4 linked regions of the Drosophila melanogaster genome follow. The protein of the gene in region 4 interacts with the protein of the main gene of each other region in a pairwise test. Each region holds a gene or a part of one and is shown on either strand. Other genes may lie near its edges. The genes, in order: Yp1, CG2017, bib and CG16985.

Region 1 (6,843 bases), on a different chromosome or scaffold from region 4:
TCATACCGAACATAATACTTAATCCCGGTTTCAGCGAGTCGGACGGCGGACCAGAGCCTGGTGGCCAAGGTCATGGGGGCAGTGCTGGCGATCAGGATGCTGGGGAGGATGACGATGACGATGTGGCCATGCCATTTCCGCGCACCATCATCTTTGGCCAGCACCATCGAACGCCTCCGCCGCCGCGTTTGCATTTGCCACCGCAGCACCACCGCCATCAAAACCAGAGCCACCACCATCAGTATCATCATCAGCAGAACCAGCAGCAGCACCACCACCACCACCTACGGCGGCAGGACGACGATGATGACGACGACTACGAGGAGGAGCACGAACCCACCATGGAGCGGTTCAAGCGTAAAGTCTCCGTCTTCTTCACCGGACCCACCATCAAGCGTATTTGAGACGTATTTGAGTACAAACACTGGTCACCAAGGTTGTTGCATTGCTGCTTGATTGGATAGTTAGGATCCACCTCTACATCATATACATAGATATAGAAATGAGAGAGAGCTTATCGATCGATCGAATGTTTCGTTTTCATTTCGGTTTCCTGTCCAAGCTTCAACTATGAAATACCAAAAAAAAAAAAAAAAAAAAACAAAGAACGCCACAAATCGCCAGAGATTTTGATTTAGAGCTCATTGCATTGCTTCTATGCCCCGAATCACAACTATATAGTATATATACACGTATTATAAATATAAACCAAAACAAATATATTGCTGTGATACAAATTCAATTGAACGAACATTGTAAGGATTTACCATAAAGCACACGAAACACCAAAAACCCAGCTATTAACCATCATGAATTTGCTGAAGCTCGTAGCTATAAAGCTCATATTGTATTTTGTCTAGTTAAACACGCTATCTGAGTTACAGCCACTGGATTATTCAGATCCACATATATAGACGACAGAATTTAGCGGACAAGTTAGCTTAGAGCCTCAAAAATCGCCCAAAAGAGATCTGTTACCAAGTACTAATCAATATAAATGTCCTTACACCCAGTCCGTTTGTCTGTTAGCCCGAACTAATGCTTTTCTGTAATTGTAACTGATTTTATAATATTTAAAATTAAATTAGTCAATTGTAACAGATCTCTGATAGTCTCTGATAGATACCGGACTATATCGTTTGAACTTGTCCTTGTTTTGGTTCCGTTGTAAAGATTTAACAAACTGTGAAACAATTTTATAATTGAGCAAATATTTTGCACTGTAGAGCGCACCAAACGATCTATATATAGATATATAAATATATATATATATATATATTTAAAACCGTGAAAAACGTTTGATAAACATTTTAAATAAACGGCAAAATGCCTTGTGCTTTAGTTCGGCCTCAAAGCTAAATAAATTGATTATGATATGATATAGGAATATTTATTAACGTAGTTAAAGTAGCCTGAAAACCAAATATTCAAAGAAATGAAAATAAAAATTGCTTCCACTCACAGTAAACAAAATCTAAACAATGAAATTGTTATAAAAGATAAATCAAAACTAATTTTAAACAAGCGAATATTGTGAATATACCGAAGCAAAAAAAAAATATATATATATATAGTGAGAACGATCACAAAATGTGTGGAATGTACATAAAGATAGCGAGTGGGTATCTTAAGAAAGACTGTAGTTAATATTTAAGACACTTTGGCCTGCGCTTTTACCAATATTTTTGTGGCCCAACTTGGCCCGAACTCCTTGGTTCCAACAATATTTTGCATTGATATGCTAGAGCTACCAACAAGTATATAGTATTAATATTTCTAACAATTCGGAATGTGCACTTAACTAAGCGAAGATTGAAACTAAAAATCAGAAGATGGAAACATCCTATTTAAATAGGTGGAAGTTTAAATAAGCAAAAGTCTCTCGCCTAAGCCCTGATCCTAAACTCTTGGCTGTATTTCTAATTGTTATCGCTTCATGTTGAGGTTTATTGTTATAACGCCAGCCTCCCATGAGCAATACTCCCCCCAAATTACCGTAAACAAATTATTTTCTAATCTGAGCCCAAGCCATAAGTGGAGAAGATTAGACCTCAACACCACAAAAACACCGACAACAATAAAATAAATCTAAGTTTACAAAACCAAACTACGATATTTACTTTTGATTTTGTTCCCTTTTTTTTGGGATGATCTATTAGACTATTATAGTTCCTAAATGATTTAAGATAAACAAAATAGATATTTTTAAGCTCTTTATCGAGCGTTTATTTGCTGAATTTCGCGATGTGCTCGTTAAATGTTTAGGTAATCTCAAGAAAAGGGCCAATATGGGTTCAACTTAGGGACTACAGTGTTTGTGTGGTTGGGTGGTTGTTTGTTGTTTGGTAGTTGCCATTCCAGGTGTCCAGAGTAAGCAGACTCATCCTTACTGGTAGTCCTTGCTGTCCTGGTTGGTGTTCCACGCCTGGTGGACACCGTGGTAGCTGCTCTGCTTCTGGGCGGGTGCGTTGCGGCCGAAAGGAGACTTGGGGTTCACCTGCAGAATGTAGTCACCCTCGAGATCGTGAGCGGTATCGATGCCCATGTAGGCACGCTTGCCGAATCCATCGTTCTGCTTGTACTGCTGCAGGGAGTTGGCTGGCACGGCGGGGAAGCTCCTCTCGTTTCCGGGACGCACGGACTCGGCGAAGTAGCGGGTGGCACGCATGGCGGCCTCCACCACGTTGCTGGCTCCGGGAACACCGGCGGCAGGTCCATTGGGATAGAAGTCAACATCACCGGAGCGGATGGGGGTGCCCATGCCGTAGACCGAGGTGTGGATGGCGTCAACGAATTCAGCATCACCGCGAGCCAGACCGGTCAGGGTGTTCTTGCTCTTGGCCACGATCTTGGAGGGATCCAGACCGGTGACACGGCGCAGCTTGTGTCCGGTGAGACGGGTGAATTCCTGGGCAGCGGCACCGGCAACATGGGCACCCACATTCTGGCCAATCAGGTGAATGGTATCGAAGGGCATGTCCAACTCGTTGACCATCTGGACGATCCACTTGCCGATCTTGGCGCCGGTCTTCTCAATGTCGAGCATGGCATAACGCTCATAGGTGTTCAGCTTGGAGCCCAAATCGATCACAATGATGTCGCCGCTTTGGGTCTTGGCGTTCTTAACCTCCTCGCTGTAGTCCTCCTCGCTGCTGGTCCTCTGGTTCTTCCTCTGTTCGTTGCTCTGATCCTGGTAGTCCTGGTTGCCGTTCTTGCCGTGCTGGCGCTGCTGCTGCAGATTGTAGCGCTGCATGTAAGCCTGAACCAGCTTCCTGGTCGCCTTCTTCACGGTCTCGCTGGTCTGGGGCAGTCCGGTCACAATGATGGTCACCTCATCCTCACCAAAGTTCTGCTTCTGCTTCAGGCGCTGGATCATCTCGTTCAGGGGAGCAACGGTCTTGTCACCATTGGGCTTGGGCACATAGACCTGGATGCCGCTGGGCACATAGTTGGGCTCAACGTTGTGGTGGATCTGCGACAGGTGGTCTACAAAGGATATATATATTCCATAGAATATTCGATGTTTTTTTTTTTTTTTTTTATCTGCATCTAGGATTACTCACAGACTTGCTGCAGCAGCTCGGCGCCACGCTCCAGGTTCATGTTCTCCAGACGCTCAATGGTGAAATCGTCGAGGGCGGGAATGGCCTCCAGCTGGGATCCGGAGAGCCACTGCGACGGCTTCAATGCCTGGTTGACGGAGTTGTCCATACGGCCATTGGGCTTGGCCAAGGCGGCGACCGCCAAGCAAGCCAGAAGGCTCAGCACTCTCATGGGGTTCATGGTTCGGATTTGGGATTTGGTCCTGCGGATGCGACTTCAACACTGAGTGAGTTGAACTGGCCTTCCAAATCCAACGATGGTGGTTTATATACCACAATTTGCGCTGAGCGATTTCCCATTTTCTGACTCGCTTTTCGCTGGCTCAGGCCTTAATCGGTCACTTGTGCTGAGTAAGGGTTTTCGGGTGCCTGGGAATCGGATGAGTGTATATGCTATCGATAGCGGAATAAATTGTATACATACAAAATAGACACGGGGCCTACCTATAGCTGACCCCACTGATGACTTAGCAGCACCTGCTGCCGCCTGATTATTTTAATTTGTAATCACTTTGTAGGCTCCGCTGATTGCAACATTGTAGTTGTGCACCGGATTTGATCAAATAAATGCATAAAATATAGATCTAACATGGGCATTAGTTGGTTATTATATACAACATTTTATTGATTTTTTTTGTTTATAAGTAGATTTATATTTGGCACTTTTCTTCTGCTTAATTAAAAGTCCATAATTTTGCATTTTCAATTCAAGGCCGATACAGTTCATTGATTCCTAGATGTTTGCCATTGATACGAAAAGTATGGAATGTTTGTAGTTTCCAAGGCAAGATAGTAAGATTATATTTGTTTTTGGACTTTAGAAATGAATTGATTCAGGGGAACGTTTTTCAAGGAGATTCTATTTTAATATCCGGGATTCGTTTTATAATATATGATCTTATCGATGCTATTTCATGTAACTCATTCTACTTATTAAAAATATATGTATATTTCGATAGATGTAAATATTTATATTTATAATATTATAATTTATAATATATTTATTTTGCATTTCCCTGAAAGTGCTATCTGCTTATAGAACAATTTAGACAATTCTTTTGGCAAACACTTAAATAGTTGCATAAATTTCACAAAATTGCCAAATATTTTTTTCAAACAAAAGCTTTATCTTGACCTGTGCATGAGTTCAAGTCGTGCCCCCACTGTCAAGCCCCTTAATGGCCAGACCACCTTTTGTTTATGTTATGAAAGTGCTGGTTAAAGAAGTTTCCCATTACCTGTTACCCGATGGATACTTAATAACCAAAAAAAAAAAAAAAAAAGGGGAACGAAATTTTAGAGCTCATCAGAAGTGTTGCAAAATCACTGACGCTGCGAATCAATGCATTTGTGCTGATCCAGAAATCGGTTGCTGAAATCAATTGCTTCCGGCGCGTGCATTATAGTGTGTATAGACTACCGATTCCAAGGGGTATAAAATGCATTGAGTCGCAGCAGTGGGTATGCAGTACAATTTGGTACGGTGTCTGAAAAAGTCGAACTTGGAAGCCACAATGAATCCTCTGCGCACCCTTTGCGTTATGGCCTGCCTTCTGGCGGTCGCCATGGGTAATCCCCAATCTGGTAACCGTTCCGGTCGCCGATCCAACTCCCTGGACAATGTGGAGCAGCCCAGCAACTGGGTCAATCCACGTGAAGTCGAGGAGCTGCCCAACCTGAAGGAGGTTACCCTTAAGAAGCTGCAGGAGATGAGCCTGGAGGAGGGCGCTACGCTGTTGGACAAGCTCTGTAAGTTCAAGGATCTCTAAAAGTTCTACCAATCATGTTATATTTACACGCACTATCCTATCCCGCAGACCATCTGTCCCAGTTCAACCATGTCTTCAAGCCCGATTACACCCCGGAACCCAGCCAGATCAGGGGCTACATTGTCGGCGAGCGCGGCCAGAAGATCGAGTTCAACCTGAACACTTTGGTGGAGAAGGTTAAGCGCCAGCAGAAGTTCGGCGACGATGAGGTCACCATCTTCATCCAGGGCCTGCCCGAGACCAACACCCAAGTGCAGAAGGCTACCAGGAAGCTGGTGCAGGCCTACCAGCAGCGTTACAACCTCCAGCCCTATGAGACCACCGACTACTCCAACGAGGAGCAGAGCCAGAGGAGTTCCAGCGAGGAGCAGCAAACGCAGCGCAGGAAGCAGAACGGTGAACAGGATGATACCAAGACCGGAGACCTGATTGTGATTCAGCTGGGCAATGCCATCGAGGACTTTGAGCAGTACGCCACCCTGAACATTGAGCGTCTGGGCGAGATCATTGGCAACCGTCTGGTTGAGCTGACCAACACCGTGAACGTGCCCCAAGAGATTATCCATCTGATTGGCTCTGGACCCGCTGCCCACGTTGCCGGAGTGGCTGGACGCCAGTTCACCCGTCAGACCGGACACAAGTTGCGCCGCATCACCGCCCTGGACCCCACTAAGATCTACGGCAAGCCCGAGGAGAGGCTGACCGGACTGGCCCGTGGTGATGCTGACTTCGTTGATGCCATCCACACCTCCGCCTACGGCATGGGTACCAGCCAGCGATTGGCCAACGTGGACTTCTTCCCCAACGGACCCTCGACCGGAGTGCCCGGAGCCGATAATGTCGTTGAGGCCACCATGCGTGCCACCCGCTACTTCGCCGAGTCCGTGCGTCCTGGAAACGAGAGGAACTTCCCCTCCGTGGCCGCCAGCTCGTACCAGGAGTACAAGCAGAACAAGGGCTATGGCAAGCGCGGCTACATGGGCATCGCTACCGATTTCGATCTGCAGGGCGATTACATTCTGCAGGTGAACTCGAAGAGCCCCTTCGGCAGGAGCACTCCCGCCCAGAAACAGACCGGCTACCACCAGGTCCACCAGCCCTGGCGCCAGTCCTCCTCCAACCAGGGTTCCCGCCGTCAGTAGATCATCGCACAGTGATCCATCGATGACAACCAGATCGCACACCCCTCATGCGAGCGAACCACTCCAGCCCATCCTCATCCAGCAGAACCCTCTGCCAGTTGCATCCACTACGATTAGTTAGCTTTGTTTTTTTAACTCACAATAAAAAACGTTTGCATTTTTAAACATTCTAAAGAGTTCAGTTCAATATCAGAAAAAAACCCCAGTTCAATTTACAATAAAAACAATTGCTTATGTCGAAATATTTGAGAGTTCTAAATGCTCATTATATAAAAATATCCAAAACCAAATTATGCAATGCCACTGAGGTCATAAAAGAAGCACACAACA
Region 2 (9,816 bases), on a different chromosome or scaffold from region 4:
AATGCTCCTTGGGTTTCCGCTTCCCTTCAGTGCATCCTTGGCGGCTGGAAGTCTCGAATAACGTTGGGCTGGTGGGTGCTCCTTGGGACCAAGCCAAAGTCTATTGTTTTGCTTCTGTTATAGATACTGCCTGCTGGTCAGGCCTCCGCCGCAGAGATCGGCTTGTTGGATTGCATTTTTATGTAGGCGCGCGCCCGTGCAAATAACTCAGGGTTCGGAACTAACTTAAACAACAGAAAAACAACCGAAAACTATGCGAATAAGGATAACGCAGAAAACGGTGAAATAACAACAAAAAGCAGCACAAAGGATACACTGAGTTAATACAGTGTTGAGCAACTCAGTCACCAGTGATGATGGCCCTAAGCCAGACAAACAGCTGTTCTCCGAAGGAAGAGATTCGTGAAGGTAGTCACAATGAGCTTATGCAATATTCACTTCAACTTTTGTTACTAGCGTATGACTTTAAGCGTGTATTACGGTCATGACACTATTTAAGCTTGAAAATCTTTGGGTACAGCCGAAACTAAATACAATTTTTCGCCCTAGAATTTACCAAATTTGGCTAAATACGCTAGACTATCGGCACTATTAAAACATATGTTGCAGCAGCAGTGCTGCAAAACGCGAACTAGTTCCGCAGCTTGTGCAATGTTTTGTAATCGTATTTGCAAATTTATTCAATTAATTAATTATAAATAAAAAATGCTGCGCCGCGCACAATGCCTGCTCCGGCTGCACGGCAATGGAGGCCATTCGCTGGTCAGCCGCTTTCGAAACTACGCTACGGACGAGGGAAATCCGAAACAGAACCCGAATCCAAATCCCAGGGCACAAAAACCCGGCACCAAAAACCTGCCGGCTTTAAGGAACCCCTTTGCCGCCGCCCAGGACAGGACGAAAAACAGCTACCTGACCATGGTGGAGATATTCCAGGAGCGCGACGTCCACCGTCGGAACCATGTGGAGTTCATCTACGCGGCACTCAAGAATATGGCGGATTTCGGGGTGGAAAGAGACTTGGAGGTCTACAAGGCCCTGATCAACGTGATGCCCAAGGGCAAGTTCATACCCACCAACATGTTCCAGGCAGAGTTCATGCACTACCCCAAACAGCAGCAGTGTATCATTGATCTGCTTGAGCAGATGGAAGATTGCGGGGTGATGCCCGATCACGAGATGGAGGCGATGCTGCTTAATGTGTTTGGCAGGCAGGGACATCCACTGCGCAAGTATTGGCGCATGATGTACTGGATGCCAAAGTTTAAGAACCTATCACCGTGGCCACTGCCCGATCCTGTTCCGGATGATACATTGGAAATGGCCAAGCTGGCGCTAGAGCGGATGTGCACGGTCGACCTGCGGTCCAAAATCACGGTTTTCGAGACCAGCGAGCTGAAGGATGCCATTGACGATACGTGGATCGTGAGCGGAATGAGTCCCGAGCAGGAGAAACTGCTGCGGGAGCACTCTCGCCAGAAAGCTCTGTACATCGAGGGACCCTTTCACATATGGCTTAGGAATCGCCGGATCAACTACTTTACCCTGCGCGCTGATGCAGATTCTGAGTTCCTGTCTGAATTAGATGAGCGGCAGCTGGACGAGGACGATGTCTCCCACATCGAAGTACCCTTCTTTGGTCGTGCTCCACCAAGGCGACACAACCAGCTGGGAAAGCTGCGCTCTGTCCACCAACAGGACGACGGAACCATTATGGCCATCTGTGCCACAGGCACCTCCACAAAGGACTCATTGCTCTCGTGGATTCGCCTGTTGGAAGCGAACGGAAATCCCTCCATAGGAGAGGTGCCCGTCCTCTTCCGGTTCACATCCGAAGTGCCAGCCAAGGCGGAGGAAATTGAAGGTGGCGCCAGTGTCCCGGCAACAAGTGATAACAGTAGTCAAGATGAGCACATTAGCAGTAGACAGAAATAAACAAATTGTTGAGCACTTTTTCGTCTTTGTATACCATAGAATTGATGGTAAATGTTGCTTAAAGTTAGTCGGTTTTGATCATATGTACATATATATGTACATCTGCTAGAAGGAAAAAAATTAATACTTCGGTAATTATTTATACTCTTTGGCTCGGACGCGAATTGAAAGCAACATTGTATGCATTTTGGGGTGGATTTTAATGAAATAAGGTTAATTGAGAAGGATTACTCACAACATCCGATTGTGAGCCGAGCTTAAACGAAAAATCACAGAACCCGAAACTAAGTGTACAGAAGATCTGCCTAAGATTTAACGCCTCCCTCTAATTGCTAATTAAGTATATGTACATGTCATCTTTGTTTGAGATATATAGATATGTCATTGGAACTATCCATCTGGCCCGCTTCTCTACTTTATGCCTGTCTTGTTGACCGGAAACACCTGCGTGACAACTCCGATTCCTTTGCTGGTGCCCTCGCGGAACAGGATGCGCATTCCAGGACGCACGTACTCCGGGTGGCCGACGAACTCGAACATCACCGAAGCACAATCGTTTGTGCCCAGTCGCTCGCCGCCCATAATGCCCCGAATGACGGCCGTCTGGCGAATGCTGCCTATGTGGACTGTGGTTTGGAAGCCGACATAGATGGCCGTGGCGTGGAACAGCACGGACACCTTGGCCTGCAAAGGGAAGTTGATGTATTTATTTGGTAACGATAAATGAAAACTAGCAACTCACTTGGAAGAAGAAGGTCCCGTAGGGCTCATCCAGACTATTTCCAATATCACCCAAAAGAACCATGCCACTTCGTAGCGTGGGCACATCCTGATCCATACTGAAAGACAGCGAAGCGCTCTGACCAGCTCGGACAACTCGGCAAGGAGCCTTGTTTCGGTGGATAGTATTAACAGTAACGGGATGAAAGCTACCATCGGGAAGCGGACCAATCTTCATTGCCATATTCTCGGTCAGCACGCCCTGGACAAGTAGACCGCCCACAACGGGTCCGACGTCAGAGACCCGGAAGATCTCGTCCACCTGGAACTCGCAAGACTCCTGCTCGAGTCGATCCTTCTCGGCGTTGCTGATTCCGGGCGAAAGGACGTACAGAAACTTTGTGACTAGGTTGAGTCCCGTGCCGGTCACATTCGATACGCAAAAGATGGGCACAATGTTCTCGGAGATCTGGTTTGACCCGGCGGAGATGGCCTCATCCGTGTTGGTCACCACAAAGGGAACCTTCCGGCACCCAATGGTGGTGAGCAGGTTGCACAACTCCTGTACCGTCGCGTCCGGCGATGTGATATCTGTCTTCGTGACCAATACAAAGAAGGGCATGTCCAGTGCCCGCACGATAGCCAAGTGCTCCTCGGTGGTGTCGTTGCAACCGCTGCCCGCCGATACCACCAGCATGGCGTAGTGGGGTGAGTATCCACTCAGTGCCTGCACGGTGGTGCGCATGTAGCGTCGGTGTCCGGCTAGATCCATGAAGGTAACCAGCTTGCTGGACCTGTCGCTAATCTCCTCTGCCGTCATCATCTCATTGTACTTGTAGTTGACCACATTACCCAGTGCATCGAAGCCAAGCGTCTCGTGGGAGATGCAGGAGGTGCGGCCTTAAGGAAAAGAGGAGCAAATTGGTAATTTTCAAGCAAACAAACCGGACTTTGTGAGTGATAAATATAATTTAAAAAAAAGTTTGTAAACGAGAGATGTATGAATAATGTAGTACAACTGATATATTCCTTATTGATGACAATTTAAAATGGATGCCAAACATCTTAATTTAATTTATATCTGTGTTTAGTGCTTATAACGACATATTACCAGACTGAATCTCGTGCATGTGCCTAAACATATTGAGCCGCGCCCGGCCGTGTCCGTTATCCAGCTCGTCCTGTGTAAGCACGCCCAGCAAAGTGGATTTGCCTGCATCAGCTCCGCCGAGCACCGCCACCCGAACCTCGATGTTGTGCTGGTCGTCGGGGATCTTACGGACCAGTACCTCGGCGACGGCGCGTCGGGCGGCGATGGTCTTTCGCCGCAGCACTGAGGTACTGGCTCCTAGGCTGTGGGCCATCTGCTTGAGCGTGGTGAGCGAGGCATTCATGTCCTTGTCGCTGAGTCCCTGCAGATAGCCGGCGTCGGATACTCCAATCTCGTAGATGGCCTCGCCGTTTCCCTCGCGCAGACGCCACTTCATCTGGGTCACCAGGTGCTCGAATCGCTGCTTCGACGGGTTGACCAGCTTCAGCTTGTACTCCACATTTCCGAGCTGCGGCTCTGGTGGCAGCATTCCCTGCTCGAAGTCGAAGATCAGGTTGCCCCGCTCGGTGGGCATCCCGCTCACTACGCTGCACTCGTTGGCATTGGCGTCCGTCTCATAGTCGCTGCTGCTGCTTCCGCCGCCGCTGCTGTTGCCATTGAGCTCGGGCTCTTCCTCGAAGCCGTCGTCCTGATTGGGATCAAAGAGACTCAGGAAGGACTCCATAATGTGTTGCTGCAAAAGGGAAGCGTGGATCATATAAATACAAAATTCAGATGAGGTAAATGGTAAAAATTCTGTTTAGACAAAGGAACTCTTTGTCTTGAGAAGAAAACATTTTTTGGGCCAATTGCGACATCGAAAATGTACATATGTACATACTTATGTACATACATACAGATTTTCGAACAGCCGTGGCTGAAATAATAGCAATGAGATACATGCATAAGTAAATATTATTTGATTTGTTTACTCATACTGTACTGTATTTAGTCTGAGAATTACCCAATATAATTGGGTTGAAATAACTTTTAATATTGTACTAAAGTTTTTTTAATTTTATTTCGACACCACGTCATTTGTTTCACTTTAAAAACAATTATTTTTCAACTTCTATGTATCTTTTTGATGGAACCGTTTGCTTATGTGTATCCATCAAAACTGAAATTTTCCCCATTTGTTTTTTTGGCCGTCTTTGACTTGCAGCGACCTTGAAAATGCTTGTTTATGTTTGCCACGACTCTGGCCGTTGTTTCGAGCCCACGCGCGGGGGCAGGTGGAACAGAAGGTCGATAATACGACAAGTTCCAAACATCTTACCAGATAATCCCTATATTTGGCTCACTAATCAAACCAATCCGCTCGAGTTTATTCGAGATATTAAGCGCTAAAGCAGCTCCTATTTGCGCGCGACGCTGGCACAAAATATCGATTTTGGCTGCGCTTTTCATTTGCCCAGGTCGAATTTGTTGTTCGTTCGGCTATCTGGGTTCTGAGTGCTGTGCTTTGTAGTTGTAGTTCGTAGTTGTGTGCGTACTTGTGCTCTCCGCTTTTGGGTGCCTTTCGATTTTGTTTATAACCTGCTCCCGATTGTTTTGCTTTGTTGACCGAAGAACAAGCACCTGAATACTTCAAAAGCTTTCGCAATACCTTACCCTAGGGCGTTTGAGTTCTTTCATGGAACGTATTTTTTGTTTAGCAAGTGGGGGTTGAGCTTAAAAAAATTAACTTAGTGAATTTCCACAAGAAGAAAGTTACCTAAATATTTAATGCGGGATGTTATTACGAACCTATTTAATTACTAAAGCTAACGATAAATGGTAAATTTATAGGTTTTAATTCTAATTACTTTATTTTTGCAATTAGAAGGCAGGATATACAATGTTTAATTACGTCACACGCCATTACGTCCTTCGACACTGGAACTATAAAAGTTAACTTTTTCACGATTTTGATGCGAAGCCGCGACGTTTGATAATTTTATTCAACAATTAATGCTTGGCTTTCCACAATTCAAACACACCTCTTTAGTTCTACGATTGTTGTTCAAATAAGGAAACTTAGTTTAAAAACGAACCTTCTTAATTGTGAGATAACTCCCACACAATTAAATTATTACGTTTTATGTAGATACGCAATCTGTGTTGCGTAGCGGATTTCTGATCGACCAGACCCTTTCCTTTTTCGGCGCGTAGTTTTGACAGCTTTTCGCGTCTTGTCCTCGCCGCGTTTGCTTCGCATTTGATTTTCTACACAAGCGCTTTTGTTTTGACCGCGTCAGCTGCGTTATTATTCTCTATCTCTATCTCGAAATTGATTGAGGACGCTTCGCGGAAAGCTCCTTTCCGTTTGAATTCCGGGAAGTAACTGTCGCGTTTACCGAATTCATGCAACCAACAAACAAAAGCTTGGCAAGCATAGAGCGGAATTTCACAAGAAACAAAAATCGCGCTGCGATTTCATCAGCAAAACAAAAATGGAGTCAATGTGCTGCACTTACGCAGTTGCTGATGCAATACTGCGCCACAATGCGCGGATCTTCAATGGTCTCTGTGTGGGTGTTGCTGTTCGTGTTCGATTCACGTTGCCATGGCAATTTTGCACTCATGTGGGTTAAGCACTCACAACACACTTCAAATTTCGGGGACGCCAAAGTTGCGCCAGCAATCCAATCAATTATTATAAACCATAAACTTCCTACATTTTGTGACTCCGACAAACAGATGTTTATGCTCGCCACGCGTTAGTCCCTTTTGGACACTGACCTATCCAGTTGCTGCGCACCCTTACCAACACTGGCTGACGGGGCGTCCATTGTGAACGGCACACATTTTTCAAATTTAAATAGTAACGTATTTTTAACAATAAATGGGGTTGCGAAGGCGGTCATCTGCATGTCCTACATTTCCATACTTTACTTTAGTACTTTAGTGTTGAGAATTCGTTTTGGTAAATTTTACTCAAATAAGTTTATTAGCCAGCATAGAACTTAATTCCAATCTCGATGGAGCTATCTTGCAAGCTCAAAAACATCTGCTTTGCTACAAAATAATTTTGTATTGGTATCAAAAAATCATTCAAATGAGTGAAGATATGGTAACGTTTTTAGATTGCTAAAAAAAGAATTTAGGAAACCTTGTGCCTCCCAGCAATGAAAATACAACTCGAATTGCTTTAATTCAAACTCAATGTATTCTCATTAATATATTTACGTTTTATTCCTTATCATTAACATTATTACTTTATCACAAATATTTTAAGCATTTTTACATATGTAGTCAGTTACAATGATGTGTATATGTATGTATGTCTGTCTGTTTTCGGGACTTGGGCTTGCATGTATGTATGTACATCGTTGACCTCTCTGAGGCTCATAAAATAGTATCTGCTGACCTCGACATGGATCATGGGGATGTCGTGATGCTACAGGTTGTTGGGGATCGTTTTAAAATTGCACTACTGGCACTCGATTTTGGTTATCTACAGCGGGGACCTTTACTATATATGTATAAACTTGGAGGAAGTTTACGATTTGCTCTACCAGTTACCTGGATGCTATAACTTTTACATTTAAACATTATGACATTACATTGATTTTACTAATCGCTATCGATGACTTAGCATATACATTTCTTTTTTTCAATTACGTTTTTTCGATAGAAAGTCAAGAACTGAATCGCCCAACTGATATGACAAACGTTAGAACACTTATAGTCGTTTAGCCCTTGTCTTGAGTATGATATAGTCGTATAGCATTTCCGATGTGCTAATGCCTTGATAACAATTGCCAATGAAAGGGGGATGATAGGGTGGTGGGGGGGTGGGGGCTACGCTCCCCTCTTGAACTGCCCCAATCCTGCGAGCTGGGCCGACCCATTCAATATCCAATAAATAATGCTCAAGAATACATTCGTTGTGTATGTGTGTGTGTGTGTGCGTGCTCAGGTCCAACTGGTTGGCGTTCGTCAATGAGGTGTCTGTCTGTCGGAATTGGCCGGAATCGGGCCCATCAAATGGCCATCTGGAAGTGGAACTCCGTGCCTTTTATCCCTCTTATCGCTCGACCCGCATAAATCATTTTATTAGCTTATTAAAAAGTTTTCCATTTATTGTCATCGTTTTGCGCTATCGTGCGCACAAATCCGTGCCCAGTTCTATATACCCATTCATTTGGGATGGGGTACTCCGGATTGGTGATTCGGCCGGCAGCATGGATTGGGATATTTTTCTAAACTTTTCTTTATTGCTCACTTGTTGGCTGGCCCCGCTGCTAATGCCAGTGGAGCCGGAGCGGTAGCGGGAGCGGGAGCAACTGCTGTGACCATTAAATTCAAATCTGGTGCTGTTTTTGGCGCGTGTTTAAAAGTTAAATAATGACCAGCACTGGGCACGCAATGGCGCAAGACGTGTCCAATATAACTTTGCCTTTTTTCGGGTCGGCCCGACTTTGATCTCGTTTGCGGGAGGGCAGTTCAAATAGTGCGTCTGCGGCAGGAGGGGCTATGTTTTCCGGGGGATGTGTTCTTCTCACTTTAGCCGGGACAAACAGATTCAACAACGAGTTTCGAGTTGGAGAGCCCTGCTCCCAGCCACTCGGCCTCGCAATGGGTACAGGTCGTGGAAGATTAGTTTCACCTTGGGGGTCGCCCCTTAAATTAAAGACTGAACCACGAGGCGCGGGGCTGGGAGGGGCTACGACCTACACCAGTCGGAGGATATAGTATACAAGTACATCTACGGTTACACTTAGCTTAAACATTTACAAACGAACGGAGACACAGACACACGTATTACATATACATATTCGTACTTTAGCTACTCCTCTACATCTAGTAATTACTTCTAAGCGACGCTGTCGAACAAGGTTTTTAAATGTACAGCTGCGGTCAAGTTGGTAGTACCCTCTTTTCAAATTCGCTTAAGACCAAACTCAAAACCAACTTAAAATTGGCTTTCTTACAGCACTTTTAATTTTACAACAGATTTATTCTAAGAAAGTTTCGTTTTGACAATGATAATCTCCATTTCATTTCTAGTTTAGAATAATCTTATATTAATCAGATAATAGAGCTTACAAAACGCTATACAACTAACAAAATGTGATTTCTGGAATCCTAAAATTATTTAGTTTACAGTGTAGTTCGTAAATTTAGGATATGTTGTTTTACAAACATAAACATTTAAAATTTACCGAATGTTTACTAAAAACAACACGTATCTTCTTCGAAATAGATTTAAATTTTTCTATAAAACCATGTATACTTTATACTCCATACTCTCAAACTTGGTCTGTAGAATCAGTAAACTTATAAGGGTGGCTTGACCTGGATTAACTAACGCATTCAACCCCTTCACCGCAAACTTGACCGCAGCTTCACATGACTAGTAGTTGTTCGGTGTCACTCTGATTCGGCTGTGTTTTTGGGCTACTGCTGTGCGCCAGTCTTTTGGTTTCCATGCCAGGACGACAGGATGGTGCTTAGACGCAGCTCTCCGGCCCGGGCAGTGTGTCCGTGATGATGTGGTTTCGTCCTGCCGCCGACTTGTGCGTGATGGTGTTTAGCTGCGACGGCGACAGGCTCGTGCCGGCCATCGTCGATGCCATGCCCATGCCCATTCCCGGTCCAGGACCGACGCCCATTCCTGCTCCAACGCCCACTCCCAATCCCATCCCCAGGCCCAGACCCATGCCCTTGGGCAGCGTCATGTGGGCAGCGGGCGGCTTGTTGAGGCCGTAGTCTATAAGGCTGCTGGTGGTCAGGTAGTCGGCCAGGTTGAGCGGATCGTGGCCCCGCTGAGGAGCCATGTTGTGGGGCAGTGTGTGGTGCAGGTGGGCGGCATAGCCACCCGGGCCCGCACTTCCGTTGGCGGCCATCGCATTGCTCACCGTGCTGCCGGCGGAGCTGAGGGTGCTGCTGCTGCCGCCCGTGCCCGCTCCGGCTGAATAGCTGGCCATGCTCAGGCCCAGCTGCTCGTAGCGACTCAGCGTGGGCATGGCGTCGTAGAGAAGCGGTGGGTTGCTCCCGCCACTCCGGGCACCGACCAGGCCACCACCACCCGCCGCGGGGTCACTCTCCAGCTTCAAGGTGCTGGACTGTGAGGGCGGGCTGTT
Region 3 (7,710 bases), on a different chromosome or scaffold from region 4:
AATCGGGAAGAGGCATTAACATTAACATTGCTGCCAAAAGGAGTTCAACGCACAACAAAAAACTGGAGCGACATTTGAAAAATGGTGCGCATGCGCAGATATATATACATATATACTCCTCTTTCCCGTTTCGTTCGTCCTTCGTCCTGCGATTTTTGGTTACACAAAGGAAAAACCGTGACAGGCAGACAGATTTTTGGCTAGCTGGTGTGCGTGTAGATCCTTGGCCTAGAGGGTCCTTTATCTAGGCATCACAAAGAAATTTCATTTTCGAAGCGGGAAATCACTACGCAAACATCTGAGCATAGGGGCAGATGTTTCTTCGCCAGATAGAGAATCCTAGCCTACCTGCGTCCTTTTTCCTGCAGGTGATTGTGCATATGCATGTGTATGTGTGTGTTCGTCCTAGGTTACCTGCACATTTCTTTTGTAGGATTCCCCATTTCTACGCATTTCACGCTTCCTGTCGTGAGTCCTTGTTGTACAGTCATCGCCCAAAAGTGCGTTTCATCTGTCTCTATCCGATTTATCCTAGTATCCCTCTGTCCTCTCTCCCCGTGCCTGTCCCACAATCTTTTGATTTACGACTAGGTTCTTTGGACAGCCTGTTGGATTTAATTTGAGACTCTTCAGTTTGCTTTTGGGCAATTCCACACGCAGGATGCACGATGTCCTTCGCATAATGCAGCAATTGCTGTGGTCAGGCGTGCAAATATACACAGATTTAAATACACTCTTGCACACCGAAAATTTAAAATGAATTCCTGTTCAATTGAGTTTGGCGTGCTGTATGCGACAACATAAGGCTTTTAATGCGGGGATTTGATGTGCATAATAGATAGCCTCGACTATCAATGGCTTTGCTCAATCAATTGGTTAAATTATTCATGTGAGGCTTTTCAAAAGGATATCGCTTTAAACTCCATTTATTGGGCAATGTTTATTTATGATTTTGGCTTACTTGTTTTCAAACCAATGATTTGTCTACTTAAGATATGTGTAACTTAATAAATACGAAAAAACTTACCCATAAAGCAGAGCAGCTCCGGCGATTCCTCCGCCACATTGTGCGGTTATGTACATGGCAGCCCGGATCGGAGATATGGATCGCACTACGCATAGAGCCAGGGTTACGGCGGGATTGATGTGGGCGCCTATGAAGGGGAAAGCATATCTTTAGATACTGACGTCAATCTCTGGTGGTGGCCACCCAAAGGGGAGCAACATTTAATATCAATTTGACACTTCTTCGGAAGGCATTTCGTATAGAACAACATCATAACTTAATGCACAACCAATTGGCTGTGAAAAGGCGGGGAATTGCAAGCCAACACAAAATGGGGGAGTTGCAGGAAAATCAAGAACACATGTTTCAAGACGCTTTTCACGATGGGGTCCCAACTACATTACTTTGGTCTTTGGTCTGTTTTCATTCTCTTTTTCTTTTTTTACTTGTAAAGACATTTAATTGCCTTGAATGTCAACGCAAATGAACAAATACATAAATACCAGAATAAATGCAAGGGAATAAGGGAAAAAGAAAGAAGTGGTGGAACTTGGCCCGGGGGCGATAAGATTCCAAGGAGCTGGAGTAGGTGGAGCCGCACCGAGTGCATTGCCTTCTCGAAAGTATAGCAAACAAAAAAAAAGGGGGTTCCGTGTGCTGGCTGGTTATGGTCATGGGGCTCCCTTGAAAACGGCAGTTTCCCACGCAATTCCAATGGGCAACCCGAAAAGAGACACTTGTCGCCCCATTCTGTTGATGTTTTTGCGCTTGTTTATTGTCTCCTTCGACTTACCCGAGATGTGGAGGAAGCACTGCGTCAGTGTAGCCATCGCCAGGCCGGAGGCCAGAGCCGTGGCCAAAAGCACGGACGACACACTGGCCCCCACTCCGACGCCAGCGGCGGCACCGCAGACGATGAACACGTACATGAAGGAGGCCAGACACTCGCTGATGATGGATCTGGAATGGAAGAGGAATGGAAGAAGGCGAACGAGCCCGGGGTTAGCATGGTTCCGCAACTGGGTTTGGTTTGCATGTGGCTCCACCGACTGCATGTGGAATGTGTACAGTACAGTGAATATTGGTTGCATAAACATATATTTCAGCGCTTAAGTATAGTAAGGCTAAGCGTGTTGAGCCAAAGGATTCATACTGAAATCAAATGAAATCCGTTTCAAAGTTTTTGTCGTGCAGCCCTAGACTTTTCCAAGTTAGCTGGTATCTACTGTACGGCACAAATCAAGTTGCACACAAAGCTCTTTTTTGTTGCCCTCAAGTCGTGGAGTGACAATTAAGCAGGGGGCGGGTGGGCAGGCTGAGGAGGAGCTGGAGGGACTGCGAGTGGGTTCTGGAGCGGATGGGGGAGCTCTAGGGGAAGCGTTCTGATGAGCAGCTGCAATGCTGCCGAATTCAGTTGATTCACATTAAGCTAAAAAGCGCAGAGTCCGCTGCACGATAACGAAAATGCAAACAAATCGAGGGCTTTATGAATTTCCATAAAATCATGTATTCAGCTGTTTAATTTGGCAGCGGCACTTCACTTTAATTGGAACTAAATATGTATCTCAACTTCTGCCTAAGTTCTCTGCTCCCCACTAAGTTCAAGTTTTTCATTTTAAATGGTCAGTCGGAGGACTTGAGACAAAAGGGTCCCGCAGTTTAGCCGGAATTTAAGCGCTCGACATGCTGCTGGCTAAGATTTAATTACTCCATCAGCTCGTGATGAAATGTTTGTTATTTGCCAGTTCCCTGAGCAAAAGGTCCTTGTATGGGCCACAAAGTGCTCGAAACTTTGGCCGTGTTTAGTTTGGCGATTATCTTGATGATGTGCGTCTGGAGAACACTTGGATTTCAATTACTTAGCGTTCAGACAAAGCCAGCTGACATCCAACAATTGCCATCTAAAGTTGAGCAAATTGAAAGCAAGTGCAGATAATGACTACAAAAACAAAAGGTTCGAAGATGATATACACGCGAAAAAAACCCCGCCATTTAGATTGAAGATTTAGTTTAGATTAAAAAGGGTTAGTTAATATGCATACGAGATACAATCATGTTTTACCCTCTCTAATTGTAAGTATTTGATCATACACAACAGATTGTGGTTTTATTTAAAATCTTAAAAAAATCTTAGTAAAAATGACATTTTTCCCAAATCATTACTCTAATTTTCTGCACAAAAATTATCAGTTTTTTTATCAGAACATTTAAAATAGTTGTCTGAATATTGAATGTTATACCTCGTTAAACTCGCAATTAAATTCCTAATCGAACTGTATTTAAAAACGACAATTCAATTTTTTTGCCATTTTTTTTCAAATTTTGATGATGTTACCCCTTACAAAAAATGTGAAAATTCACCCAAAAATTAATTTTCCTAAATCCTTCAAAAAGTGATAGGGTTCGATAGCTCTGGTAAATAGCTGCTCAAAACAGTTATTCTTTCATCAATATGAGAAGTTTTAGCGAAGTTATGACAAAAATGCCGCTTGTAAATATCAAGTTTTTGGCAAAAGACGTTTTTCCGAATTTCAGTCATTAAATAACATAGTTAATCCCGTATATCTATATAAGTATTTGTCCTAGGGCAGGCTTGACTTACCTCCAAAACTCCAGCGTGCGAATCTCAGCCTGCATGCTCCGCTTGGGAGCCTGCAGGGTGCTGGACAGGCGATTGTTGACCCCGTGGCCACCGCCGTGCGAGTCCTTACGCATCGCCTCCAGGCGCTCGAATAGCGTCACGATGTGGTAGTCTATGTTGTGCTCCAGGGGCACGGTGTGCAGACTTTCGTCGGCCATGTCGGACTCAAAGCACGATTTGTTTATGTCTACTAATTAAGTAGTTGAATTGAGCGAAACACGCGACAAGAGGCGGCGAAGCTGGCGAATTGTTGGCTGGTCGATTGGCTTCACTTAGACACACATTTCGCACACTGCAAATTGCACTCAATTTATGTCAATTGACGAGTTTCTGAACTTTCGACCGATCCGTTGTGATTCGCCTTCTACTTTGACTTTGACTTCGAACCGAAAACACGTCCGTATTCAAGCGCGAGTGGTGAGCGAATAACCGAGTCGAGTCAGAGTCAGGTTGCTTCTGCTCGCCGACATCGACGTCCACGGCCCTCAGGAACAAGTTGAAGTTGCAACACAACTCACCACCAACACCACCACCACTATCGCTCGGCGGCGGCAGCGAAACAGCTGCCCACTCCACCGACGCAGTGGTGGATAAGCAACCCCTGCACTGAGAAATAAATAAGGTGCATTTGTCACGCAGCAAACGATGGAAATCTGCAAGCAAAAACAACGTTTTAATATCATTATCTTTCCTATATATATTTTGAACGATATACTTATATAAACGTATAAGTAATTTCCAACAACTTATACTTACTTATATAAATAATTTTTTAGTTGCACACTTCTAAGTAAAAGCCACATTTTATACATTAAATAACCTCATAAGATAATATTTAATATCAAATATATTGATTTCACAGTTTCCAAAATATGCTCAGTGCATTGGAACGGAATGGAAACGAAACAGAGGTCCTGTCAACCTGTTGGTTTTACCGCCATACATGAGTAATGCCTCGTACTCACCACCCATTCGGCAGCATAATCATAATCATAAGTTGCTAAGTTAATTGCGCAGCACTGATCAATAACACAGATTCCAGATTCCCGGGACCCAAAGATGATGATGATGATGATGGTTGCGACGATGAGAATGAGGATGATGATGATGATGATGGGGAACACAGGCAGCTGGGCCTGGGAGCAGCTTTCATTGAAAGCATTTCCCTTTTTCGACACATTAATGAAATGTAAAATAATCTGCCCGAATGGGCAAAAACTTTCATTAGATGAGTTGGGCATGCCACTTTTGTGGTTAACTCGGTGTATTAAAATAAAACTGATTTCGATCCCAGGACCATCACACTGGAATTCGCCAAGGGAAAATTATAGTTATGATATAGTTGCTATAATAGTTAGTATATATAAAATTATACATATTTTATTCCCGAACATATCGATAATAAGATAATAAATTAAAACACATCCATTATAGATTACAAGATGAAGCCTTTTTGTGATTTAATATGTATGTATGTATGACATTAAATTCTTTATGTAGAGATTTAAGTACTTTAAGATTGACCATTTTCTTGAGTGCACTTTCGGGCCAGAAACTCCAAAGGGAGATGCCGAAAAAGGGGCCATTCTCACCGGTTCACATTTTCCGCATCACTAAAAACTATAATTATGAGCCCTAACCACTTGATACCCTTACCTGTCAATTGTCAAGCTGTCCTCGTGTGAGTCGAGTGATTCTTCAAGCCCAATGAGCTGTGAAAGTTAAGAAATTAGGTTCGCCACTCCGTGGACGAAGTGAAATCAATCACGCAGACTTCTTTGCCCGGCCACAAGAAAAGAGGGACTCGAAGAAAGCGAGGAGGCCTCAGAAATTTCGTCACTGTTGCGATTTTGTACATTATTTTTTTTCCGACAAACTTCGGAAAAAAAAGGGGCGGAGGAAGGCAGGGGGCCGTCGGAAGGACGTTGCCATATATGGCACGTTGGAGCACCATGATGATGACGATGATGATAATGGGGATGATGATGCGGAGGAGACGCCGAAGGAGACGAGACGACAAAAGGCTCTGGCTCTGGGACCTCTGAGCGTGGGAATTATTTTGCACACACTCTCTGTGTGTGTGTCTGACTTTTTGTTTTTCACTTTTTATTTCGTATTTTTCGCTTGTTTTTACGTCGAGGTCGCACGGGGTCGTTCCTTTGGCCGGTCGAAGGTAAGGTAATAATAAGATGTTTTGTTTCAATCACATCGTCGTCATCATCATCATCATCATCACCATAATCATCGTCGCCGGTCTTTCTGCTCGTGTGCATGCAAGATCCCCTTCCTGCAGCCATGGAGGTAGTTCAAGTTAGTTTCTTAGTTATTGATTTTATCAATATTACACTTTTTAAGTCATTCTTTGATATGATATCAAAGATTTAAGAAGGAAATTAAAAGTGATTGTACCTATGGAGAAGAAGTAAAGATTTTAAATAGATTACTGAGAAGGTAAGAGCTGTTAAGAATTACCCGTAGAAAACAATTTTAAACACATTCACTAAAAATTTAATACTTCACAATTGATAATAATATTGATAAGACCCCCCTCTGGATACATCCATGTCCGTACTTATCGTGGGAGAAAGACAACGAGAGTAACCGAATACGCTCATCTCATTTTGGAGATATGCTGTCGTTTTACTCTTTTTGTGGGAGAGCAGAAAAGAATTGGAGATGAAGCTCTTATCCTTTTCATTCTTTTCCTTTGGTTACATTAAGCTGAGCTTGATAATGCGCCGCATTTAATATACCCATTACTACTCAAGTTCTGAAGTATTCTCTATTCGTAACTTTGTAGCTTCTAACTGTGTAACCAATATATGGACAAATGTTAAAAATGATTCAAATTTCGAAAAAATTAAACAAGTTTATTTACTGTATGTACCATATTTTCACGAATTTAGTACGGATGCCTTTCATTCGAAAATATACCCATAAGCATGCTTTTTACCCTTTTTGTAATTGTTTTTGCTTACACAGCTACAAATGACTGAGAGATAAGATTACAATATAAAAAGAAAAGGATATTTAAATGAAAGAATTTATTCAAACCCTGAAATAAAAAAACATTATTTACCTTCAAATTTCAAATGAAATAAAGTTCAATTTACTAAAGTAACCACATTATCTTCATCCTTATTGCTTGCAGTGTAATGACCACGTCGTGGGTGCAAGACAGGATGCCACGGAACCTTCGGGAATTCTCCATAGTGCAGGTTGCCGCAGTTGCAAATGGATGTGGTGATGGTGTCACGATGCCTCGCCTGCTGGGGCCGAAAAAAAAAGGGAAAGGGGCCTGGGAAAAGCCGCCTGCTCTTCGGTAAGCTGTCGATGGGGCAATCAGAATGCTGAATTCCCCGGGGAGGATGCCCTGATATCATTATTAGAGATATGCGAGTCGAACCGATGAACTGTTGATCGTGTTCGCCATATGAGGAGCTGATTTATGGCTGCTCAGCCACTTCTTTGGCTGCAAAACGAAGCCGTGACTTATGAGTGAATAAAGCGTGAGTATCTGTCCAGACTTCTGACCCCTCAAGCTCCTCATCCTGCCATTGGTGTCCGACGACAGGTAACCGGCCTTGCCCAGACGGATCGCCAATTCTGCGGGTTATTTTACCAAATCTTAACAAGGTCAACGGATTTGTGTGGTTTCCATGCTCTGTGGGAAAAGATCACTGGCTGCGAAGAGGAGGCGTTATGCAAGAAATCGGAGGCGTAGCATACCAAATAGAACCGATTTTGGGAGGACATATGAATGTGGAAAGAAACAACTTAGCACAATCCTTAAGAGTTTTAAATAAACAAATCCTCCCGGCTCATGGTTGATTGATTTGGAGTATGAAATACAAAGTACTCCATTATCCTTCGAATATCACAAAACCTACATGACTAGACAGCTTTGTTCGTGCCCTTAAACCCTTTGACCTGCCACAATGAAAAACACTAAAATCTAATTCACATGATGCTGTGAACATCAGCATATGCAAATCCGGCGAAAAACACGATTTCTGGGTTTTACTGAGGCGCAAAAAAAATGTTCGGAATCCGGAGGACATAC
Region 4 (6,333 bases):
CTGGTTCAGCTAAATGAAATCATATCTCCAGTACATCTACTTGTCAACGTGCAATAGCAAAGGAAGGACCATGTTGCTGATCCGAGATTTTCGTAGTGCCTATTGGTGGTCAGCTGAGGAGAGCTGACCCCATCCAAAAACAGTGCAAATTTCGAGTGGCTTTTACATTCGTTAACATCGTCAAATTCATTATTCATTAAACCACATATCTAGCTTGTAAGACGGCACCAGCATTTCTGTGTGCTGTTTTGAATCTGTAATCTGTAACCCGTATCTGAATCTATGTCGTATTCGTATTTAAATCGTGCTTCCAACACTTCCATGTTTATTGTTAAGCTTCGGAATCAAAATGTAACCATGACAAACGATCTTAGTGCTAATTTTACAATGCAAACAATTATTTTATATACGCAAGCGAAATATTTATATACACGAATTTTATATGGTAACAAATTATTTACAATTTAATAATGTAACTCGTGTGCGACACAAGCTGTAGCTTGATTTTGTGCTTTAAAAAATATATATACAATAATACCAATTTTGTGTGTTCTCCTAAAAGATCCAGAACAAATATCGAATTCCGATTGCTAGAAAATATCTGAATATTACAATATCACCAGGAAACGATGTTGCCTTCTGTTTATTCTGGAAATCCTATAGCAACCTTTGTTTCGAGTTAAATCAATCCAAGTCAACGCAGAGGTACTTGGCAACGCAGGAGTCTCCACCAAACAGACTGTTATTATTAAACGAATAGTCAGTAAACTAGCACGCTTTCGAGTTCCCTACCTTCATCCTTACATATTTGTATTACAATGTCCCTGGTTTATATCACCCATCACGATGAGAATATTCTCGAGTGCGAGCAGGACTTTGTGAAGGCCCAAGGACCTAAGGAATCAATTTTTGTCTACAAAAATCGTAGGGATTCGTACTAAAAATCGTTACCTCCCACCTAACTTTAAGCAATTTTGCAGCTGTTGTGGAGAGGGCAGCCAAGTATGCCAAGAGACTTCGCGAACGCTTTAACGAGGAGGACAAGAAGCTATCGATTATCCTCCAGAACGATGGAACCCGCGTCCTGACAGAGGCCAAGAAATCAGCCCACCGCACCATGGGCTGTGCTCACACTCCGATTGACCCACCGTGCGCCTATTTGCGCAAGAGCCAGGGCATCAAATGGCGGCGAGAGAACACCCACAAGTGTCCCAAGATGCCGCCAATGCCCCCACTACCACCACCGGGCAGTGGCGGCAAAAAGCCGGCAATGGTACCTAACTTCATCAAACGCAACAAGATATGTGCCGGACAAACGGTTCCCTGTCCCCCGCCACCTCGTTATGTAGACACTCCCGTGGGAGCTCGTCACGATCTACTCAATTCCGGATTGGTACCGCAGTTTATCTGCCGCAAGGATTTCGGCAAGGTGCCTGTTTACCTCAAGAAAACCAAGAGGATGTTGGCCGACATGAATGCGGTGTGTGCCAAGGAACAGGCACGTTTGCTGGAGCTGTGCCGCGGTATCAAGGGTTTCACCAGGGCATCCGTCCAATCAAGTGGTCCGCCGCCAATGCCGGGTATGCGGGTGATGGAGCAGGCCGAGCGAAATGAGATCCTCGAGGGACTGCGACTGAGCCTGACCGAGATGACCAAGCAGTATCAGTCGATGTCGCTCCTTATCGACAGCATCGCCAAGCGGCAGCGCAAAAGCAAGCTGGAGTCCGATCTTCGCCAGGTGGAGCAGGACATTCTGCTAATCGAGACCACTCCCATTATCTATGTTTCCGAGTACTAACAATGACACACACACCTTTTCTGACCATGTGTGTCGGCATCTGGAAGCCGAGTGAGGTGTCTCCATGGATTCACTTGCTTTGCTCTTAGAGGCGGACACACAAAACACTTCGTAATTAAGATTGAGAATAAATTTAACGTTTATGCATTAAACATTTCCGTGGCAAAGCTTCCATGGCAAACGGGACATGTCAGATGTCTCCCCGACTCGTAGAGTTCTTGCAGATTGTCCAGCTCGAATAGGATTTGGCGGTTGCAGAGGCTGCAGTAGCGTCGCTCCAAGCTGAGGGAGATCTGTACGGATACTGTAGTCTTGTCTTAAAATGAATTCTAGTGAATTCTTACCTCCACAAAGGACACACTGCATCGATGAAGTTGCTTCTGGGGATTAGATATCACAGGTATACCTAGCATCTCGTGCAAGTGCTGAATATGGTTGCCCATTTGTTCAACGAATGTCCTTGCTGTGGATCCTAGGGCATGGTTTTCCGTGAAGTCGTCATTGAGTTTATTTATCAGTCTGTGGGCCTCCTCGAACATACATTTTATCGCCTGCTCCTGGAATGGTGATCTCTTACTTAATGACCCAATAAACTGGAGCCTCAGTCTTATGTGTGTGATATTCAGCATCGCAAGGAGCAGCTGCAGTTCATCCCGGGACTTTTGGATGTGAACTGTCAGCTGGAGGTGGCTCGATTGCAGGCGAATCACGTTTTGAAGAACATGAAATTTAATTTGCAGCTGCTGCAGCTGACCTTCAGTGGCGGTATCGGCAAATTCAATGGAATCTAATGGACAAAAGTCCATAAATTTTTGCCAATTCTCCTCGGCAAAAACGTGCAGACGTAGTCCAGCTAATAAATCGGTATAGTGATTCATGGGCTTATTGGATTCCAGATGCCTGACAAGCTGATCAAGTGGATCCTGATTCCCCACCTTGAGCACTTGCATAACCAACTGGTTCTTTTGAGATACAGTTTCATTTAGATATTCCTTGTTGCGGTAGAGTAACAGGGTCATTAAGTTCTTGTGCCTACTGGTGCACAGTCCCATCACCTGGAAATCCTGAAGGACACCCATGGCTATCGATTGCATCTGCAGGCTAAGCTGATTATTCTCGTGGATAATTTGTACGCAAGACAAACAGCTTCCAGCGGTTCCTGCAACGTAGCTACTGTTCTCCAGGCTGCAGAGAGCGGTGATCTTCATTCCGCCGACATAGATCCGAGCTTGCAGGCAGTCTGTGCTCCCCGTTCTTGGCATGCTCCAGGTCAGCAGGTGCGCCGCCTTGCAGCAGGTTATATAATAGCAATCCATTCTGGGACATTCAGTGATCACTGCCATTTGCAGACCCATGCGATCGGCTTTCTCCCACAAGGGCTTCACTAAGGCGAGAGCTGTATTTCCCTTAGCTGGCAATTGGTACAGGTGAATGAGTCCGTTGCTATCGCCCACCAGTAGAAGGTCCTTGAAAGCTTGTATATGGCAGATACGACCCATTGAGGTTTTCGTTTCTTGATGACTTAAAAGAGTTTTGACATCGGCGCTTAGTGTGAGCAACCACAAACTTCCTGCGGCTGTTCCCAGAACCAAAACATGCTGGCCAGTGGCATCTGCATCATCAGGTAACCAAGCAAACATAGTGATCCAGGCGGGATTAATATATTCTTGATAGCTCTTAAAGTCTTTTATCTTGGCGATGTCCACTTCAGGCAGCAGAGTGTCCCTCAGAGTTTCAGCGATATTTAGTCCTTCCACAGGGTTCCAACGATTGTACTCAGCGGACTTGTTTATTAGGCTCAAGGATCCATAAGTGTTGAGGGAGCCCAGGAGGAGATTTCCATTAGCTGCCAGCTTGGGTGCTCGCTTAACAGCTGTTAGTCTGGCTGGTGGCACGGCAACGGAGCACACAGCCGTGTATGCCGGGTCCAGGGCCAAGTGCTGTGCCTCCAGGACATCGCAGCTGTCGTATATGGCAACCAGATCCACTTTGTTGGCCAAAACGTCCAGAGGTCGTGTTTCCGCAGCGTTGGAATCATAAATGGCCACAAAATACGGAAAGGGATCCACGACCATGAACTTGCTGCTCAATTCCAGAGTGATCACTTCCGATTTGGAGCCGCTCAGTGCTATAAAGTCTCCATCGGAATCGCTGTTTACAAAGTCGTGTACCGAGTCCTGGCGGACGAATCCTTTGGCTAGAAGGTGAAAATCCAGATAATCTAGAACGAAATTAAACATTTATTAATTGCAATAACAAACTGCAATTATATTACAAGATATTCCAGTTACACTATTTCATTGAAGAATAGGAATTATTTGTAAGTGCGAACAGAGCGAGCACAACAAACCGCGCGAAATCGGCAATCACTATCTCAGATGTGTGGGTATATCTATTTAGCACGCATACACTCACATTTCCCGACATCTTGAACGCCATGTGAAATTTCTCCCTCAGTAACTTTCGTCATTTCGTCGTGCTCAGTTCAGGAATCCAAATCCACCGGAATGGCGGCCAAGAAACTGGGAATGGTTAGAGCACCATGTAACTTGTTGAGTAGATAACTGAAGTTCTTTCTTTTCAAAGGACTTTGTGAAGCAGATGTCCGAGTACGCCAGCGGGTCCAATGGATTCGACCGCGTCTTGAAAATGGTAAGATTCTAAACAATTTGTGCAGCCGATTTTAAAGCGACGCCGTCGAAGTCTCTCAAAAACAGCTGACTGTCATCAGTGATGGTATTACATAATTCAGCTCGCTGCAATCGATAACCGTGAAGTGCTCACCTCTCTCGTGGGATCTTCAGAGATTCAAAAATGTAAACAAATTTCAATTCGCAGATTAAAATTACAGGCGGTGGAGATGGTCGCGCAATAGGGGAGTTCACTGTGGCCAATGAGCATTTGAATCGCCAAGGAACTTTGCACGGTGGTCTTACGGCAACAATTGTTGATAATTGTACCACATATGCCCTTATGTCGAAAGGTATTTTGAAAGTTTGTTTATTACAATCTATAGAATCTACAATGAAATTTTTTTAAATTTCAAGGATCCCATCCCGGAGTTACGGCCAACCTGAATGTAAGCTACATTGCAGCAGCGAAACCTGGCGAACTTATTGAAATTGATTGTAATACCGTGCGGGCCGGTAAGAAAATGGCCTATTTGGACTGCATTCTGAGGCGTAAGTCCGATGGAAAGATCATCGCCAAGGGCGGACAGGTCAAGTACATTCAGTTCGACAAGGAAAAACTGGATTTTTAAAACAATTTTTGTAGATCGTCAGAAAACGAAATAAAATCTTTCGAACCTCTGCTTAAGACGTACTAGTTTAATTATTTATTATTTCTTAAGTTAGTTATTTCTTAATTTACAAAATAAAGATATTTAAAACTAAAATAGATGAAAGACTATAGAAATCCCAACGGATAATTTTTAAATAGGTAGGACTTTGCATATCGATTTGCCCTTTTAACTTATCGATTGGCGATTCTGCTTATCGCAAAACAGCTGTTGTTTGTTTTGAAATTGTTTTGTTAGGTGTTACGTTAGATTTTCAGATTTTTATGTAAATTTCGGGCAGTACGGGGATAGTTAGGTAGGATCCGTTAACTAAATACTAACTATTTCATAATATCGTGCTATATTATGTTTACCTTATTTTTTGATACTTGCTAATTGTTTACTTTTCATCGAAAAGCGGAAAACTGCACTCGAAGATAATGAAATCAAATATTGAAAAAATCAAAGCAATCCATTTGTTAATATACTACTGTGATTTATTTTTTAATGGATTTAGTCCCATCCAAACTTACACACGTCATACATACAATAAAGTTGGATTGTTCTATTGTAAAACAATTACTATCTGACACTTGAGATATAAGTGCACGTTACGACTACTTATCTATCTACAAAACTAAATCTAGTATATTTCTAATCGTTCCGATCGGACAAACTAATTCATTTTGTAGTTATATAGAAGCTAGCGGATCGTCTGTAAAGCAACATCAATAAATAATATGGGAACTCGCAAGAAGGGACTCGAATTCGCTAAACACATCACCGAGATTATCAACAAGTCAACGGGCTTTGAAAGTCACCTACAGAAGGTTAGATCACCATAGAGTCTCCTTACCAATATCATTATCTCATCCTTATATTCCATTAAAGGTCAAGATCGTAGACGGTGGCGATGGAGCCTGCACTGCTGAGCTAAAGGTGGACCAGGATCATGTGAACTTGTACAAGTTTTTGCACGGCGGTTATATCATGACCCTGGTGGACTTGATAACCACCTACGCCCTAATGTCCAAGCCATGTCATCCCGGAGTTTCGGTAGATCTTAGTGTAAACTTTCTAAACGGCGCCAAACTGGGCGACGATGTGGTGATTCAGGCCAATCTGTCCAAGGTGGGCAAGTACCTTGCCTTCATCGATTGCACCCTGAAGCACAAGAAGGACGACTTGGTGATAGCCAAGGGCACACATCTAAAGTATATCAAATTTGACTAGACTAGATAGTCTCAAATTGGGA

What was found.
Region 1: the proteins of CG16985 (region 4) and Yp1 interact in a two-hybrid assay, tested with the Drosophila melanogaster proteins (one large-scale study listed by BioGRID).
Region 2: the proteins of CG16985 (region 4) and CG2017 interact in a two-hybrid assay, tested with the Drosophila melanogaster proteins (one large-scale study listed by BioGRID).
Region 3: the proteins of CG16985 (region 4) and bib interact in a two-hybrid assay, tested with the Drosophila melanogaster proteins (one large-scale study listed by BioGRID).

The regions. Positions count from the first base shown.
Region 1 is NC_004354.4:10,050,857-10,057,699, reverse strand, and holds Yp1 (yolk protein 1), read right to left. Parts: upstream 3,890-6,843; 5' UTR 3,784-3,889; coding exon 3,564-3,783; intron 3,487-3,563; coding exon 2,387-3,486; 3' UTR 2,202-2,386; downstream 1-2,201. Other genes in the region: CG15312 (uncharacterized protein), read left to right, coding at 1-404; Yp2 (yolk protein 2), read left to right, coding at 5,117-5,351, 5,420-6,513. UniProt on the Drosophila melanogaster protein: Vitellogenin is the major yolk protein of eggs where it is used as a food source during embryogenesis. Along with Yp2 and Yp3, and their receptor yl/yolkless, required for maintenance of microtubule plus-end orientation towards the posterior pole of oocytes.
Region 2 is NT_033777.3:5,855,966-5,865,781, forward strand, and holds CG2017 (uncharacterized protein), read right to left. Parts: upstream 6,441-9,816; 5' UTR 6,313-6,440; coding exon 6,205-6,312; intron 5,938-6,204; exon of another isoform or gene 5,782-5,937; intron 5,340-5,781; exon of another isoform or gene 5,025-5,339; intron 4,440-5,024; coding exon 3,767-4,439; intron 3,556-3,766; coding exon 2,678-3,555; exon of another isoform or gene 2,620-2,677; coding exon 2,347-2,619; 3' UTR 2,118-2,346; downstream 1-2,117. Other genes in the region: ECSIT, read left to right, coding at 706-1,935; side-III (sidestep III), read right to left, coding at 9,184-9,816.
Region 3 is NT_033779.5:9,981,045-9,988,754, reverse strand, and holds the start of bib (big brain), read right to left. Parts: upstream 4,111-7,710; 5' UTR 3,806-4,110; coding exon 3,609-3,805; intron 1,967-3,608; coding exon 1,800-1,966; intron 1,155-1,799; coding exon 1,028-1,154; intron 1-1,027. UniProt on the Drosophila melanogaster protein: Essential for proper differentiation of ectoderm. Acts synergistically with neurogenic locus proteins Notch and Delta during the separation of neural and epidermal cell lineages in response to the lateral inhibition signal.
Region 4 is NT_037436.4:2,595,052-2,601,384, forward strand, and holds CG16985 (uncharacterized protein), read left to right. Parts: upstream 1-4,268; 5' UTR 4,269-4,305; coding exon 4,306-4,329; exon of another isoform or gene 4,330-4,384; coding exon 4,385-4,450; exon of another isoform or gene 4,451-4,528; intron 4,529-4,636; coding exon 4,637-4,781; intron 4,782-4,845; coding exon 4,846-5,060; 3' UTR 5,061-5,191; downstream 5,192-6,333. Other genes in the region: CG16984 (uncharacterized protein), read left to right, coding at 819-924, 981-1,798; CG12182 (uncharacterized protein), read right to left, coding at 1,939-2,091, 2,143-4,019, 4,214-4,268; CG16986 (uncharacterized protein), read left to right, coding at 5,819-5,908, 5,970-6,311.